4 linked regions of the Arabidopsis thaliana genome follow. The protein of the gene in region 1 interacts with the protein of each later gene in a pairwise test. Each region holds a gene or a part of one and is shown in the gene's direction. Other genes may lie near its edges.

The links.
Region 2: the proteins of CPSUFE (region 1) and GRX4 interact in a two-hybrid assay, tested with the Arabidopsis thaliana proteins (one study listed by BioGRID).
Region 3: the proteins of CPSUFE (region 1) and AT2G20270 interact in a two-hybrid assay, tested with the Arabidopsis thaliana proteins (one study listed by BioGRID).
Region 4: the proteins of CPSUFE (region 1) and CXIP1 interact in a two-hybrid assay, tested with the Arabidopsis thaliana proteins (one study listed by BioGRID).

Annotation. Positions count from the first base shown.
Region 1 is NC_003075.7:13,381,362-13,385,354, reverse strand, and holds CPSUFE (chloroplast sulfur E), read left to right. Parts: upstream 1-1,713; 5' UTR 1,714-1,783; coding exon 1,784-2,899; 3' UTR 2,900-3,157; downstream 3,158-3,993. Other genes in the region: UKL4 (uridine kinase-like 4), read right to left, coding at 144-213, 502-593, 696-852. UniProt on the Arabidopsis thaliana protein: Participates in cysteine desulfurization mediated by NFS2 in chloroplast and NIFS1 in mitochondrion. Activates the cysteine desulfurase activity of NFS2.
Region 2 is NC_003074.8:5,307,083-5,311,718, reverse strand, and holds GRX4 (glutaredoxin 4), read left to right. Parts: upstream 1-2,094; 5' UTR 2,095-2,335; coding exon 2,336-2,407; intron 2,408-2,684; coding exon 2,685-2,825; intron 2,826-2,911; coding exon 2,912-3,011; intron 3,012-3,123; coding exon 3,124-3,190; intron 3,191-3,364; coding exon 3,365-3,443; intron 3,444-3,534; coding exon 3,535-3,585; 3' UTR 3,586-3,954; downstream 3,955-4,636. Other genes in the region: AT3G15670 (Late embryogenesis abundant protein (LEA) family protein), read left to right, coding at 818-871, 955-1,578; AT3G15650 (alpha/beta-Hydrolases superfamily protein), read right to left, coding at 3,955-4,039, 4,127-4,220, 4,319-4,401, 4,484-4,634.
Region 3 is NC_003071.7:8,737,200-8,741,785, reverse strand, and holds AT2G20270 (Thioredoxin superfamily protein), read left to right. Parts: upstream 1-2,125; 5' UTR 2,126-2,168; coding exon 2,169-2,455; intron 2,456-2,565; coding exon 2,566-2,639; intron 2,640-3,202; coding exon 3,203-3,358; intron 3,359-3,517; coding exon 3,518-3,544; intron 3,545-3,708; coding exon 3,709-3,785; 3' UTR 3,786-4,000; downstream 4,001-4,586. Other genes in the region: AT2G20280 (Zinc finger C-x8-C-x5-C-x3-H type family protein), read left to right, coding at 1-78, 170-261, 809-1,000, 1,089-1,219, 1,316-1,418, 1,532-1,732; PSAE-2 (photosystem I subunit E-2), read right to left, coding at 4,142-4,246, 4,324-4,389. UniProt on the Arabidopsis thaliana protein: May only reduce GSH-thiol disulfides, but not protein disulfides.
Region 4 is NC_003074.8:20,340,716-20,344,409, reverse strand, and holds CXIP1 (CAX interacting protein 1), read left to right. Parts: upstream 1-1,945; 5' UTR 1,946-2,038; coding exon 2,039-2,560; 3' UTR 2,561-3,053; downstream 3,054-3,694. Other genes in the region: AT3G54910 (RNI-like superfamily protein), read left to right, coding at 133-846, 909-1,049, 1,177-1,443; LHCA1 (chlorophyll a-b binding protein 6), read left to right, coding at 3,488-3,678. UniProt on the Arabidopsis thaliana protein: May only reduce GSH-thiol disulfides, but not protein disulfides. Probably involved in the regulation of the redox state of the BOLA proteins. May act as Fe-S cluster donors to Fe-S cluster-requiring proteins.

The DNA of each region.
Region 1 (3,993 bases):
TTATGCCTTAATTATCCCAAAGAAGTATTATAAAAAAAAAAAAAATGGCCAAAGAAGCTAGGAAAGATTTTTTACTCCTGATGACACTATGTATTGACAAGAGTAGATTACAGAAAGCAATTACACTCCAAATATATTCTCACCTGGATGATCAAAGTTGTATTCATGAACTCTAGCAAGTTCTTCTTCAGTCAGATTATGATAGAACGAGTCCTGCCAAAAATCATTATCATAGGATATTAAGTCGAGCAATTTGTGGTTTATCATGATGCCAAAGGAATTTGAGAATTAGATAAATAGACTGACATAAATATCTAAACAATGGTGACAAGGTTGAACAATGTTAAACTTCAGCCATATATAAGTTATTAGCTGGTAATATTCTCCTTTTAGATCTCTAAATTGTGTGGAATTCAATTGACTTCATATACATTCGAAACACAAATCAAACCGGTGGTTATCACTTAGCTCTATGAAACTTTATTAGCAAAACAAAATTACCAGGTTAATAAGTACAACACGCTGATCGTGCAGTTGCTGGATTATCATATCACAAACAGTAGTCTTTCCCGATGCTGCGCCTCCAGCAACACCTAACCAATTCAAGTCACAACATATCAATCAAGACCATTCGTCAAGCTTTTTTTATCCACGACCATATATTAATCAAAAATGAAAGCAAAAGCAGAACTCACCTATTACAAAAGGCTGTCTTTGGATATCTTCTGATGCAGAAGTGGTTTCCTTAAGTGCACTTGGTTCCAACCCATTCATGTGCCCATTCACGTGTAAACCAGAAAAATGTGCCCGCGAGGCAGCTTCGATCATGTCAACAACGGACTTAGAACCCATCCCGACGACAATTCTGGACATTGTACATTGGTAAAATAACTTAAATCTTTATCACAATCATGCATAAGCAAACACAATACAAGGAATCTTACAACTTCATCTAGATTCTAAACAACAATGTGAATCAAATCCAACTTTATCCAGCAAAACAGAGAAGAAAAGAGTGAAAAATTTCAGCTGCAACCAAAAACTGTAAATCCAAACTCTTTTGATAACCATAGATCAACAAATGCGAGAACAATCCAAAAGAAACAAAACCCTCAAGTTATAACATTTAATCAAACATGGAAGAACCAGAAGAGCAATGATCGATCATCTCGAGGTGAAATCGTACTTACATGAAAAAACAGATCGTTCAAAAGAGATAAGTCGTAAAAATGAGATTTTTAAAATTACCCAGATTCAGTTTTGCTCTCAAGGATCTAAGGAAAGCCTCAAATCAGAAAAAAAAACGGAGATGCAGTTTCTTTCTGTGGAAGTAGACAGAAACAATAGAATCTCAGATAAGAAAGGGACAGTTTTTTAATTTGATTAAATTTGATAAAAGTGTTTTTATTTAATTTAATTTAATTGCTTACATTGGTAAAAGCTGGATTCGGACATGATTGATTTGATATATAATAATGGCGGACGTGTTTGAGGTGACGAACGCAAGAGAACGAAGAACCAGGAAGACGATGCTTCAAAACAAAACAAAAAAAATCTAGATATCTTTTTCTTTTCCTTATTTATGAAAAGAGTCGTATACTTTCTAATTATTCATAATCAACCCCACAATTGATTTTACATCTAATTTTTGGATTTTGGTACATTCCCGGTTTAATTCCCGGTTACTACCTAATTGGCGGTATTGGTTTTTGACTCAGAAAAAGTGAAGAAGGAGAGCTTTCATCATCATCTCAGTCTCTCTCGAAGTTTCAAGTTCGCGACTATGGCAGCAGCGATGTCTTCTTCTTGTTGCGCTTCCTCGCTTCGTTTAATCCCATTCAAACGGACCTTGTTTTCTTCAATCCATTATCCGGCCAAAACCCTTCTTCTACGACCACTAAAACCGTCGGAAGTTCCTTCCTTTCGCCGGACGATCATCACTTTCCAGAAAATTTCAACCGGGATTGTTCCTCCACCATCGGCTTCATCATCTCCGTCGAGCTATGGAGACCTTCAACCAATCGAAGAGCTTCCACCGAAGCTACAAGAGATCGTCAAGCTTTTCCAATCGGTACAAGAGCCAAAGGCTAAATACGAGCAGCTTATGTTCTACGGGAAGAATCTGACACCTCTCGATTCTCAATTCAAGACGAGGGAGAATAAAGTAGAAGGATGTGTTTCTCAGGTTTGGGTTAGGGCTTTCTTTGATGAGGAACGTAATGTTGTGTATGAAGCTGATTCTGATTCGGTTCTCACTAAAGGGTTAGCTGCTCTATTAGTCAAGGGTTTATCTGGAAGACCTGTCCCTGAGATTTTGAGGATAACACCTGATTTCGCTGTTCTTCTCGGGTTGCAGCAGAGTCTGTCTCCTTCTAGAAACAATGGATTACTTAATATGCTTAAGCTGATGCAGAAAAAGGCTCTTCATTTGGAAGTCAAAGGTGAGGAAGATTCAAGTTCTGGAGAGAGTTCAGAATCCAGCTTTGTGTCTATTCCTGAGACTAAGGACGAAGCTAATGTTCCGGAGGTGGATTTGGAGTCTAAACCTGATCTAGTTGAGGATTTGGGAACAGAAAAGATTGATGATTCTGAGAGTGGGTCAAATGTTGTTGCTTTAGGGAGTAGAGGGATGAGGATAAGAGAGAAATTGGAGAAGGAGCTAGATCCTGTTGAGTTAGAAGTTGAAGATGTTTCTTACCAGCACGCAGGACATGCCGCTGTTAGAGGTAGTGCTGGTGATGATGGGGAAACACATTTCAACTTGCGAATCGTTTCGGATGCTTTCCAAGGTAAAAGCTTGGTCAAGAGACATAGGCTGATATATGACTTGTTGCAAGATGAGTTGAAGAGCGGGTTACATGCTCTCTCTATTGTGGCAAAGACTCCTGCTGAGGTTTGAGGGTGTAACATTGGAAGAAGTCAGGTCCTGATTCTTTTACTTCTTTTGGTCCATTTGCTTTGGATATTGTTCTCTGGACCTTCTAATAATGTTAAGAGCTCGATCAGGATTGTGTTAAATGAGAGATAGATATTGAAGGATATAAATAATGTTTTCGCCAATCGCCACATGATTCACCATTTTCAAACTGATTTCCCTTTATCTTATGAGGGTCAAGGTCTTTTTTGTTTTGATATGGTTTCCTGATATTAAGTTTTGTACCTACGCTTTGAGAGATGAATAGAGAGAATGCTCAAGGTTGTTGTCCATTTGGCTAAGTTTGAATCGTTAGAAAGATCACAGCACCTAGGGAAAGCGAAAAAGGAATTTGGGGAGAAAAATGGTACTATATTCATGCCACCATTAGACATGCGAAGTTTCTTGTTCATTTTTTAATTCTTCTAGAATCTAGATACTCAAAGTTGGTATTGTCTAATCAAGTGATGCAAGTTGGTTTGAGGGACTACAGAAAAAAAGAAAGAGATTTGGTTGCTTTACTTCTTTCTGATAAAATAAGTAAAAAATGTGAAAGGAGTTTCAGATGATCCCTGTTTCAGTCTACCGTTAGACATGTGATGTTTCTTAAAGCCCCATTAGCTGAGACTTGTGGGGTTTTATATACAATCAGCTTTACATACCTGTCTAGTGAAACCAGCTGTGGTTTTAGCCAACCAATTTCTGCAACTTTTCTTTCCTGAGACCATTGTATCTTTTTTTTTTTTTTTTTTTTGATCAAAGTTGAGATTTTGAATATTAAAATCCTCTGTGTTGGTATATGCTAAAAAATGGTTAAGCTTCTTCTTGTGTGTTTTACTGATTTTGATTACTTTAAGTCCTAAAGGGAACCAACATAGGCATCTAATGCTTGTACCTCTTTTGCTTTTGGTCTTAATTCTTTTCTCTGGTGGTTCAGGTATGTTGAACTGTATTAAAATACAACATTGGTCTTGGCACTGTGTCTTGTGGATCAATTATGGATCTGCTTCATAGAAAGATAATATCTTTCCAGTTTCTTTATCTTGGAAATAGTACAAACTCCGATCTCGGTTCTTGGA
Region 2 (4,636 bases), on another chromosome or scaffold:
CATTTGTGTTTGATAAATACACTTTTTAGTACTCATCCCCTTTTTTTGTCTGACATCGTATATGTATATTGGTTACATCTAAATTTGTCACACTTGTGTAGCAGTGATAGTTGTCTCAGTGTGTCTATAGACTATAGTTAAATGTTAATTAGTAGTATTTATACAATACTAATTACATCATCTAAATATTTGCATATGATTCACACAAGGCAAATTTCCTTGGCTAATTGTCACACTATTTATGTGAAGGTGAGTAGTTAAAGCTAATAACCTCGAAGTTGCTTGGTTTATATGAGATCAAGTTTGGCTCTTGTAAGTGAAGATAATAATTTAAAGAGTATTTTAATCGTGATAATCTAAATGTTAGTTGATAGTTAATACGTCACGGAACATGTACCGACCGACGGCCGATTTCCATGATACAATAAAAAAATGAAAATTAGCAATCTCATAACATGCGACGACGATACTTATGGTGTTGCCACGTAGCAAGCATCTTCCTCTTAACCATGAGGTGTCGCAACCTCAGAGGACAACACGGACAAGACCGAGAAACCGCATACTAACGCTTGCAACGTAAAGCACAACACCCCTAAACTCCTATTTTTTTAATTTTCTTTTAACCTCAACACACCACGCAGCTATACACGTTTCAATGTGCTAATACGTGTCTTCTTCTCCGCCGACCAAGACACACTACAAATGTCCCGATGGTTTGGGGAGACAAATCACAGTTTCTACTACAACAACAAATACTTTTACGAAAAAAGCTTTTAAAACTTATCTAGTTTCGTTTGATACACATTTGAAGAAAGAAATGGCATCCAACCAACAGAGCTACAAAGCTGGTGAGACCAGAGGCAAGGCCCAGGTAATAAGAATATATTTTTGTGTATGTGTATACGTAAAACCACATTATATAAGCTCTAAGATGATTTGTCTGTGTAATACCAGGAGAAGACTGGACAAGCTATGGGAACGATGAGGGACAAGGCTGAGGAGGGCCGGGACAAGACTTCTCAAACGGCCCAAACAGCCCAACAGAAGGCCCATGAGACAGCCCAGTCAGCTAAAGATAAGACATCTCAAACTGCCCAAGCGGCTCAGCAGAAGGCCCATGAAACGGCCCAGTCAGCAAAAGAGAAGACATCTCAAACTGCCCAAACGGCACAGCAAAAGGCCCATGAGACGACGCAAGCAGCAAAAGAAAAGACATCTCAAGCTGGCGACAAAGCTCGCGAGGCCAAGGACAAGGCCGGGAGCTACTTATCGGAGACAGGCGAAGCCATAAAGAACAAGGCTCAAGACGCTGCTCAGTATACAAAGGAGACGGCTCAAGGTGCGGCACAGTACACAAAGGAGACGGCTGAAGCCGGTAGAGACAAGACGGGTGGATTCTTGAGCCAGACTGGTGAGCATGTTAAGCAAATGGCAATGGGTGCAGCTGATGCAGTGAAGCATACTTTTGGGATGGCTACTGAGGAAGAAGACAAAGAGCATTATCCAGGAAGTACTACTACCACTACTGCAACTACTCGAACCACTGATCCGACTCATCAGACTTATCAGAGGAAGTGATGAGAAAACAAAATTGAGAACGATATGAAAGTATCTTTGTGTTAGTTGGTCTTTTGAGTTTTGTGTTTGTGTTTTTGTAATTTCCGTTGTGTCTTTCTTTATGGTTGTGGTTCAGCTGTGTTTCTTGTTGTGACGGTGATCCTGGAGACTTCTAATTTCCAGCCAATAAGTTTAGATTTGATCCTGTTACAACTTATGTGTTCTCAAATTTCTATTTTTGTTACAATAAACAGTTATTAATACACATCATGGTCCACTTCGTATGTTGGTCATCAAGCATTAGCATTATACAGATATAGCTGCTAATCCAAACGGGTTTTACTAATCTTTCAATTTCTTTTATCAAAAATTTCAATAAAACATTTGTGTCTGCTTTTACGTTTTACGAATCGTTCAATTTCATAGATCTACTAAAATGAGAGAAGTAAACCAAAAAAATTGAATAGTAATTTATCTAAACCGAGCAAACCAAATAAATTTATCAAGACGTCAACGGACGTATACTTTGGTGACCATCCGAAACGACATCGTATAACATCTTAGGGTTATGAGTAATGACACGACGTCGTTCTCTGGGTCGGTCACTGGAGATGAAGAGAAGCGGTCGCGACATTGTAAAGATCTCTAGCTCCGTCCTTCTTCCTCGTAGCTACCCTCTCTAATCTTTTTTTCTCATTCCTGTTCTTGATAGTTTTCTAGACAGATTTCGATTAAACAAAACCGCGGAACACTTTGAAGAAATCTGCGTGATTTAGAGATGGCGGCTTCTTTATCGAGCAGACTTATAAAAGGAATCGCTAATCTCAAAGCTGTTCGTTCTAGCAGATTGGTTAGATTCTCTCATAACCCTTTTACTCAATTTTGATGTATCTAATGTTTGCTCAATAAAGTTTTCTCTTTTCCCATCTTGAATCACTTAAAAATTGCTCCTTTATATAACATTTGAGGTTCTGATTCTTTTGTTAGTTGAACCGGATTAGATAGTTACGTGAGCGTATGGTTTTGAATTATGTGAAAATGAATTTGTTTCCAATAGAAGATGGTATTGATGATCATTTGATAGTTGAATTTAACATGGAGAAGAATGATGTGGTTTTTGTTTGCAGACGTCTGCATCAGTCTACCAAAATGGGATGATGAGATTTTCCTCAACAGTGCCAAGTGATTCAGATACACATGATGATTTCAAGCCTACACAAAAAGTCCCTCCCGATTCTACGGACTCACTTAAAGATATCGTTGAGAATGTACACTCCAGCTTCTCTAGATTTGAAGTTGAATGTTTCTTTGTTAGGTGTTTGCTAATGCTGTTTTAGCTTTGGTGGTTGTGTAGGATGTGAAGGATAATCCTGTTATGATCTACATGAAAGGTGTCCCTGAATCTCCTCAGTGTGGGTTTAGCTCACTAGCCGTCAGAGTTTTGCAGCAATATAGTAAGTTTTGTTGAAATGTTGATTGAAACTGAAGAAGCCTTCTGTGAATTTTCTTTACTATTGGCGTTAGGCTCTGTGTTCTGATCTACTATCTTGTGATATCCTTCTTTAGATGTTCCTATCAGTTCTAGAAACATTCTAGAAGACCAAGAGTTGAAAAACGCTGTGAAATCCTTCAGGTGAGTATGTGGACACTTAATGAAAGTTTCATACAGAGAGTTGTATAATCTCATTCTCAAAGTTTTTTCATAAAGTTTGGCTTTGTTATTGAAGTTCGTTACCGTTCATTCCTTAATCTTTGACCTATATGATCTAGACCTCCCTTTGATTTTCAAGTCTTTATTTCTTTGCAGCCACTGGCCTACGTTTCCACAGATCTTCATTAAGGGAGAGTTCATTGGCGGCTCAGACATCATCCTTAACATGCACAAGGTTAGTTCCACTTAAAGCAGACCCTGTTTGACTTTTTTTTCCCCCGTTTCCATTGTGTTTGTTTAATCACAAGTCTCTTTTACTATTCTAGGAAGGTGAATTGGAGCAGAAGCTTAAAGACGTCTCCGGAAACCAAGATTGATCCAAAGTTTGGAAGTTATGCTGACGAGTGGAAGTTATTATGTTTTTGTTCTTTCTTTTCATAAGAATGTCTTTTCATGTACGGTAAAATAATGTCTCAGAAACTCAAAAATCTTTGGATTTCGTATGAATAAAAACTTTGGTAAACTAAGATAGCAAAATCAAAGAAGCCCAACGAGCCTTATTTATTTATTTTATTATTCATAATCAAGAATCGAACAGTAGAAAAGCATGAATAAATCACAAAACAGTAGAAACATGAGAGAACACCGTATACCCCAAGAAACCCCCCACCCCTTATATATATAATATAAATATTCTACACCATCGTATAATAGCTATAGAGATGCTGAGAAGATGCTTGTAAAGTTTAACGCGAACCCTCGAGACCAAGCCTTGAGACGAGCCAGTGAACCACCTCATCCATTTCTTTAGGAACCGTATAGTGACCAAGCCTACACAATCACATTAAAACCTCACAATCTCAGACTAAAACAACTAGATTGATAATGATAACTTTGGGATATAGGTTGAACAGTTACCCTTCATATGGTTTGAACATAGTTTGTCGGAATCCAGCCATGGCAAGTGAATGAGCAGATTTTTCTCCAAATCTATAAGGAACTACATCGTCCGCTGCAACCAAAAAACACATAAAGTGAATAAAATTCTAGATTCTCTTCGGTGATTTTATCTTGAAACAGTAAATCATATAATGATATATGTAAACATACAAGTTCCATGTGCAAGTAAGATCGGTATCGATGCAGCGCGCCTTGCAACCTCATTCGAACTTTCTATTTTGCTCCTTAAGCTCCTGCATTGTTATGTTTAAGCTTTCAATGTTAAGTCTCTGTGTTAACAAGTGACAAGAAAGGGTTGAAGACATATATTTATACCTCCAACCAGGAAGCCAACCGCTAAGTCCTACAGTAGCTCGTAGGTTTATAGTATAAGCATGTCCGGTTCCATAACGTCCAAGAGCGTAGCACGTCGTGGAGTAGAGAGCTATTGCTGCACCCATACTGAAACCTCCTATCCCAACTTTGACT
Region 3 (4,586 bases), on another chromosome or scaffold:
AGTGCAAATTCTCTCATGATTTGAACATTCAAAGGAAGGGTGAGAAGATTGATATTTACAGTGATACGCGTGATGAAGGTATAAAAGTGTGGCACAAAGTGTCTTATATATCTATCCCTTTGGTCCTTTGGATGATGGTCATATTTTTGCCTTTTTTATATGGCTTTAGATGGAGATATGGATGAGTGGGATCAAGAGACCCTTGAAAAGGTTGTTGAATCAAAGAAAAATGAATATAATCAGAATAAGCCAACAGATATCGTAAGTTGTTTCTCTTATCTTGTGTTTCTCGGACTTTTTATTATATGCTTGTCGGGACATGCTTATCAGTTATTAGTAGCTTTTCTCTTGTTAATGCACTGTGAAAATGTCTGAACTGGTTTGTGTTCAAATATACAGCCTTTTAACGTGTATTATGTGAAGTGATGCATTAGTTTTGGTTGCACTTGCTGTGATTAACCTTTAGCTGATGTGCATTCGCCTTACGATGCGCTTCCTTTAGCTAATAGCACGGTTCATATTAAGAGCCATTAGGGTCTTAGATGTTATTATGCCTCCCGTTGTTCCCTTGTGTTTTTCTGCGCACTTGGTTCATGCCTGACAAGAACTCATGCTTTTGGTGATGTTAGTGCTAATCATAATTTTGAAATAAATGTTTCTTAACTATATACGTCTATGCTAAAAGAAATAATATCTCTGCGTCTCATCTCAATAATCATCTCATAAACTTATCCTAAACACATGAGTTATTTGTCTCGCTGAGTTTTATTGACTTGTAATTGTTTTTGTGTTTACTGAAAAATAATAGGTTTGCAAGTATTTTCTGGATGCTGTGGAAAAGAAACAGTATGGGTGGTTCTGGTCATGCCCCAATGGTGGCAAAGAGTGTCATTACAGACACGCGCTTCCTCCTGGATATGTCCTTAAATCTCAAATGAAAGCCCTCTTGGAAGAGGAGTCATCGAAGAAGCTGGCAGTTGAGGACGAAATCGAAAACGAGGTTTAAAATACTCCTCAAGTTTCCCTCATAGCTGCTAGGACCCGGTACTTGATTTGTGAGACCCATGTTTTCTTGTTCTATGTTTCAGCGTGCAAAACTGCAAACCGCAACACAAATGACTCCTGCACTATTTATGGAATGGAAGAGGAAGAAAATTGCTGAGAGAGATGCCGGTTTGGCTGCTTCTCAAGCGGAGAGAGCTAAGAACGACCGTATGAGGTAATCCCCATTCATCATTCTGTTACATATCCATCTCCAGTGTGACTCTATTTTTGTCCTTGGAAGCTGATTCATTGTGTGGATTTGTAACCTCAGTGGTCGGGAGCTGTTTCTGTCCAATGCAAGCTTGTTTGTGGATGATGCTGAGGCTTGTGAAGAATACGAGAGGGAAAGAGAGCAGGAAGAGACTGAACAAAAGGTGAGCTCTCTCTCTCTCTCTCTCTCTCTCTCTCTCTCTCTCTCTCTCTCACTCACTCATCATTTAAAACAACCAAGTCATGTTAATGGAATCTTGAGTTTTTTGCTTTTCAGGCAAAGAACAAAGAAGCAGAGGCAGGGACAAGCAAGAGTAGTGGTGATGCTGAACAGAGTTCGAAAGAAGTCAATGAAGAAGAAGAAGATGACGATGATGATGATGATGACCTAGACATGGATGAGCTGGATGAATTGGAAGCAAGCTTGTCGAAAACATCGATCCAGATTCGTGAGCCAAACGACGAAGGGTCATCTTGAAATGAAAAATGGTCTAAGAGGAAGAGGTGGAGGAGAGAAAGCACATGTTTTGTTTTTGTGTACTTTCAATAGATTGGATTTTGCAGACACAAACCCCATTTTGGGGTGTTGAATAATTTCTGTTACTGTTTTACAGTCTTAAATGGCCTCATCAAAGAACTAGTAGTATCTTTTTTGTCCAATCATTTTCATCTTTCTTTGTTGTTGTTAATTTTATCATGATGTGTAAATAAAAGGTCGTAAACTTACTAGAGAAAATAAAAACTACAGAAATGTATTAAAAACAAAGAATTTTAATCAATTCTTATGAATATTTAGTTGTTTTATTGATATTTATAAATAAAGAACAAAAAATATCGGCGATATAAAAAGAGGTAAATTAATCTGAGGGCAAAAATAAGAAAAGCATCCAATTTCGTCGGAAGAAGAAATCGCCATGGTAGCCGCAACAGTAAACCTCGCGAACATGACATGGACGTCGTTAAATTCAAATCCAGCAATCTCTTTCTCCATGTTAAGCGGAATCAGAAACTTGGGCATGTTACCTTTCAGGAGATGTCTAAAGCCGACAGTTATCGGAATCGCGTCGTGGCCACCACTCCGTTGTTCTTCTGTTAAGGCTATGTCTTCATCATCGTCTTCGTCTGGATCGACATTGGAGGAGACTGTTAAAACGACTGTGGCAGAGAACCCTGTCGTTGTTTACTCCAAAACCTGGTGCTCGTAGGTTCACTATACTTTTTGGTTCAATTAGAGGAATGGGTTTTGTTAATTTATGATCTAGTTTGTCAATATTGATACTTTTACTGGGTTTGTTCTTTTTGGTGGTGAAGATACTCGTCTCAAGTGAAGTCCTTGTTCAAGAGTCTTCAAGTTGAGCCACTGGTTGTTGAATTGGATCAACTTGGTATGCTCAATTCTTTACTTTGGTTTGCTATATGGGTCTGAGTAGTTTGCTATATTGGTTTTGATAATGTGTGTGATATTGTTTATATCGATCAAGGAAGAGCTGGTTACAAGTGCCCTAATGTTTCAGCATTTTGACTGGATGAAATTAATACTTGTTTCCAACTTCTTCTTGTTTATCTTCTGGTTCATTTGGCTGCTTGCTTGAATTGGTTTGTATGTTTTTTGATTAGATTTTGATGGAGGATTGATGATGGTTAGGGGGGTTTCTAATGGCCTAAGATAGCTTTACATTTCAGAGATTCTGTGTCTTGTTTATGTGAAAAATTTACTTCCACTGTAGTTTTCCTTGGACCAATGACTTGTTGATGAAGAATCAACGGGTAGGCTAGTACTTCTAATGGCTTAAATTTTTCAAATTGAAGATTCTTTCCTGCCTTTGAATCTTAGACAGTATGCTTCTATTTGTTAGAAACTATTATGTTGCTATCTTCTTAGTTATCTTTTCTCGTGTCAAGATTTGGTGACTTTCCAAAACCATTTGTTCTTTCTTGTCTTGTTTAGTTTCTTTGGGTAAAACATCTCTGCCTCATGATATTGGTCTGAAACATTTACAAAAGTTTTGGTGGTTTTTGGCGTTTCCAGGTTCAGAAGGGTCGCAGCTGCAGAATGTGTTGGAGAAAATTACTGGACAATACACTGTTCCCAATGTTTTCATCGGTTAGTTGTTTCATCATTTAAGCCAGTTACTAACTATACTCTGATCATTTTTCTTGATTATTTTGCCTGAAAACAAAACTATCGATAAAATCTTAGCCACTACATTTGCTATGACCATCACTTATCTAATTTTGATATCATGTTTTTGTTCATGACCAGGAGGCAAGCACATTGGTGGCTGCTCAGGTACAATCTCTCTTCCTTTCTTACCTCAACACCGAGATTTTTCTAATATGTAATTGAGATCGTCTTTGTGTATTTTGGCACCAAGATAGATAGTACTCAAGATCTTGCTCAATGTCTTGTGATTTTTCTGGTAACTTGACCTGCATATCATTATTGTTGAACAGATACATTGCAGCTGCACAATAAAGGAGAGCTGGAAGCAATTTTAGCTGAAGCCAATGGAAAAAACGGTCAGACCTAGAGATTTCTAGAGATGAAACTGGTTGGTGATTCTTCATGTTTCCTTATTGAAGTCGAGATGATTTGCTGTTTGAATTTACTGTCTATATAGAGATTTTCAATAAGAATCTTGTGTTTCTTTCTACGTACAAAAAACAGTCAATGAGTCATGCTGGGTTCTGTTACTAAACCGGAGTTGCTGAGTTTGATCCACACTACTTGGAATTTGCAATCATTTTTGGGTGGCTAAATGCATATTTGGAAATCGATCTTGAGATTGTAAAAGATAAAAGATGAATTGTTGGTTAACTTTTTGGTACATACGGTTTTGTTTAAGATTACAAACAGACGAACCGGTTTAGAGATAAACCATGTCTCTCATTTTACTTCTTCCACCTCGTCCAATGCGTAGTTGTTGGTCGATATATTCGCGTAATTCACCTTGGCGAACCGGACCACAACCGGATATCGGGTCTTCGGGTCCTGACAATTTAGACCGGAATATAAGATGAAACGATATCTAACCGTTAGATCGTTAACTTCAAAAGTAAATGCATTACCTGATCAACGGCCACAACTGATCCAACGTTCTTGTACCAGTATGATTCTTTCCTTAGAATCTTGACCTGTAAGTCCTCAAAATTGTTTATAAATTTCACAGTAGCCCTATAACTCTTAATATGTATACTAAATAGACCCAGAACTTATTGATGATACCCAGTTTAGCTCAAATATTAGTCCAATCTTCTCTACTAGCATCTAATTAAGCTTGAATTTTCTTCTACCACAAGGGTTAGTTCCTTTTAATCCTGATCTAGAGGTC
Region 4 (3,694 bases), on another chromosome or scaffold:
GGGTTTCGGGTTTCAAGATATGGATAGATTCAGTGAGTTATCTGATGAAGTGCTTATTAAGATATTATTGTTTGTTCCAACAAAATTGCTGTATCCACTAGCATTTTGTCGAAAAGATGGGAGTATCTTTGGATGTGGTTGCCTAAACTTAAGTATGGTCATAGAGATTCTTCTGAATGCAAGAGGTTGGAGTGTTTTCTTGACAAAAATCTGCCATTACATAGAGCTCCGGTTATAGAAAGCTTCCGTCTTTACTTAATTGATTCAAAATGCACACCTGAGAATATCAAGATGTGGGTTGTTATAGCAGTTTCTCACTGCCTGCGTGAGCTGGAGGTTATTTATTCTTCATATCCGGAGAAGCCAAACATATTGCCGAGTAACTTGTATACCTGCAAATCGCTTGTGATCTTGGAACTCTGTGGCGAGATTCGCTTGGATGTTCCTCGAATGGCATTTCTTCCCTCTCTGAAAACTTTGCAACTTCACAGCGTGAGATACCTCAATGAAGACTCTCTTCATCGGCTTCTATCTAACTGCCCTGTTCTTGAAGATCTATTGGTGGATTTACTTTTGTCAGACAGCATGGAAAAGCTAACTGTTGTTGTCCCATCTTTGCAGATTTTATCACTCTTTATACCTCATTCTTATGAGATCGATGGGATTGTGATAGAAACTCCTTCTTTAAAGTATTTTAAACTTATAGACCATAACAGTAAGAGTCACTACTGTTTGGTTAAGAATATGCCTAACCTGATAGAGGCAGATATAGATGTTGAATTACATAGCATCAAGAGTCTTATTGGATCAATCACATCTGTCAAGCGTCTTTCAATATGTTCACAGGTATCATTTTCTCAACTCATTGTTTAGATATGCATTTGCTGATAATTTTTAATATTGCGCAGGCTATGTATGATGGAGGTTTTGTCTTCAACCAGCTTAAACATCTGAAGCTATGTAGATGCAAAGGGCATTCGTCGGATTTACTTGTCCGACTGCTCAAAGATTCTTCTAACTTACAAGCACTAGACCTTTCCGAAATGGATGTAAGTTTGTTCGTCAAACTCTTTTTTCTTGTCTGATGCACATTATGGTTTTAGTGTAATTCTTCTTCTGTTTGATCTGTAATTCTTCTTCTGTTTGATCTGTAATTCTTCTTCTGTTTGATCTCAGTATCATGAGAATCATGATATCCTTTACTGGCATCAACCAAGTACTGTCCCTGAATGTATGTTGTTGAGTCTCCAAACTCTCAACTTGTCGGCATATAGAGGAACACCAGAAGAGAGAGATCTTGCAGTGTATTTCTTGAAGAACGCTGTTCACTTGAAGACCACAACAATCAAGTCATGTGTTTTTGATGATGAAAGATTTGACATGTTAAAGGAGTTGGCACTTTCTTCTAGAGCTTCAACAACATGCCAACTCGTGTTTGATTGAGAGTATTTGATCACCAAAACAAAGCTTGTTCTTCAGTTCTTCCATGTCCCCGGGCTCGTATGGTTTGTCTTCAACCTGAAAATTTGTTTTCGTCAACCATCTTTTTCTATGTTTTCCGTTTTTTTTGTATGTGATAAAAACTTTATTCTATATGTTGTCCACCAAAAAACAAATTATGTTGATTGGAGAAGTTATATGATAAGTTTTAATCGTTTATGGGGTTTTATAGGTGTGTAGAGATATATACATACCTTGTGAATGAAGAAAAGAGAACTAGCTCTGTGTTGAAAAACTGAAAAGCATTTGATGCCCTGATAATTTCTCTAAAATTATTAAACCGAAATACTAATACGATCCAAGTGGAACCAACCAATTTCTTAATATCTAAAATACCGGAATCTAAAGAGTCGAACCAAACCGAACCGGAATGTCCTCTAATTTTTATTTTTAAACCCATGATTATGACATGCACTACCGGCTTAGTGGTGATGTTTGGCAACATGGTTTATTCAATTCTCACTCGCACTGAGTGTCTGTGGCTCATAAATCATTTACCTTTTCAATTTCTCAATTCCAAATCTAAAAGTCGTCAAAAATGGCTCTCCGATCTGTCAAAACGCCGACCTTGATAACTTCGGTCGCCGTCGTCTCCTCCTCCGTTACCAACAAGCCTCACTCTATCAGATTCTCTCTTAAACCAACGTCGGCACTCGTCGTCCATAACCATCAGCTATCGTTCTACGGTTCGAATCTCAAGCTGAAACCAACTAAATTCCGATGCTCAGCGTCGGCTCTTACGCCGCAACTTAAAGACACGCTGGAGAAACTGGTGAATTCGGAGAAAGTGGTTCTGTTTATGAAAGGAACGAGAGACTTCCCGATGTGTGGATTCTCCAACACTGTGGTTCAGATTTTGAAGAATCTGAATGTTCCTTTCGAAGATGTGAATATTCTGGAGAATGAGATGTTGAGGCAAGGACTTAAAGAGTATTCGAATTGGCCGACGTTTCCTCAGCTTTATATCGGCGGTGAGTTTTTCGGTGGTTGTGATATTACTCTTGAGGCGTTTAAGACTGGAGAATTGCAGGAAGAGGTGGAGAAAGCTATGTGCTCTTGATCCTGATTTCAATACTTGGTTTTTGTGATGATGGAATTTGATCTTATCTATCTATCTATCACCTGGGAAAAAAAATGTGATTTTGATGTTTCAGAGTTTGTGGTTGTAACATTAAGAGACATATATTGTATGATGGATTTAGGTATACAACAGTTGGAGTTGCTTGGAATTTGAGTTTCCTTTGTCATATGTGTTGGCCTGCAAATTTGTGTTGTTTGTTGAAAGGTTTATGTGTGAAGTAGTGCTAGTAGAATCTAAGTTTGTTTCTGACTAAGAGACATGAAGTCATGGGTTGTTATGCTCATTCATATCCTGATTGAGATACAATTTAAAGAAACTTAGTTCCAAAGATTCTGAACATTCACCGGTACAGTGTGTCTGCAAATGGTATTCTGTCTCACTTCAATGTCTAAACACGTTGTCTCAAAATGTATCGTTTGTTAGATACTCCTTTCAAGACATATGATTTAGCCTCGCATGTGTTCGTTGATCCAAGTTTTACCGGTTTGATAAGTCTCCAGTCTTAGCAATAAATCCAGACCGGATTCATGACCAATCGCAGATTTACCGGTCCGGGTCAAGTTTTAAAACATTAGTAGAAATGTGTTTCACCGAACAGGAAGACTTATCTGATAGCATCTCGTTGCAGTGGATAAATGGCAAAATAGTAATATACGTAGATTCTGCTTTTATCTGAACCACATAGTGCAGATGGATATCGAACAGAAGAACATGATATCGAGAAGACACGTGGCCCAATGAAAAAGCCACGCAGGCTCTGTATAGCCAATTGCAATCTGGTTTTAGATTCTCATCTCACAAATCTTACTTATACGATCAGTCTCCCACATTCACACTTCCACCAAACACCTCTCGTCCACATCTTTCTCCTTTGGTGGCAAACACAACGACAGATAGAGAGAAACGATGGCGTCGAACTCGCTTATGAGCTGTGGCATAGCCGCCGTGTACCCTTCGCTTCTCTCTTCTTCCAAGTCTAAATTCGTATCCGCCGGAGTTCCACTCCCAAACGCCGGGAATGTTGGTCGTATCAGAATGGCTGCTCACTGGATGCCTGGCGAGCCACGACCAGCTTACCTTGACGGTTCTGCTCCTGGGTACGCTTCGAACCCT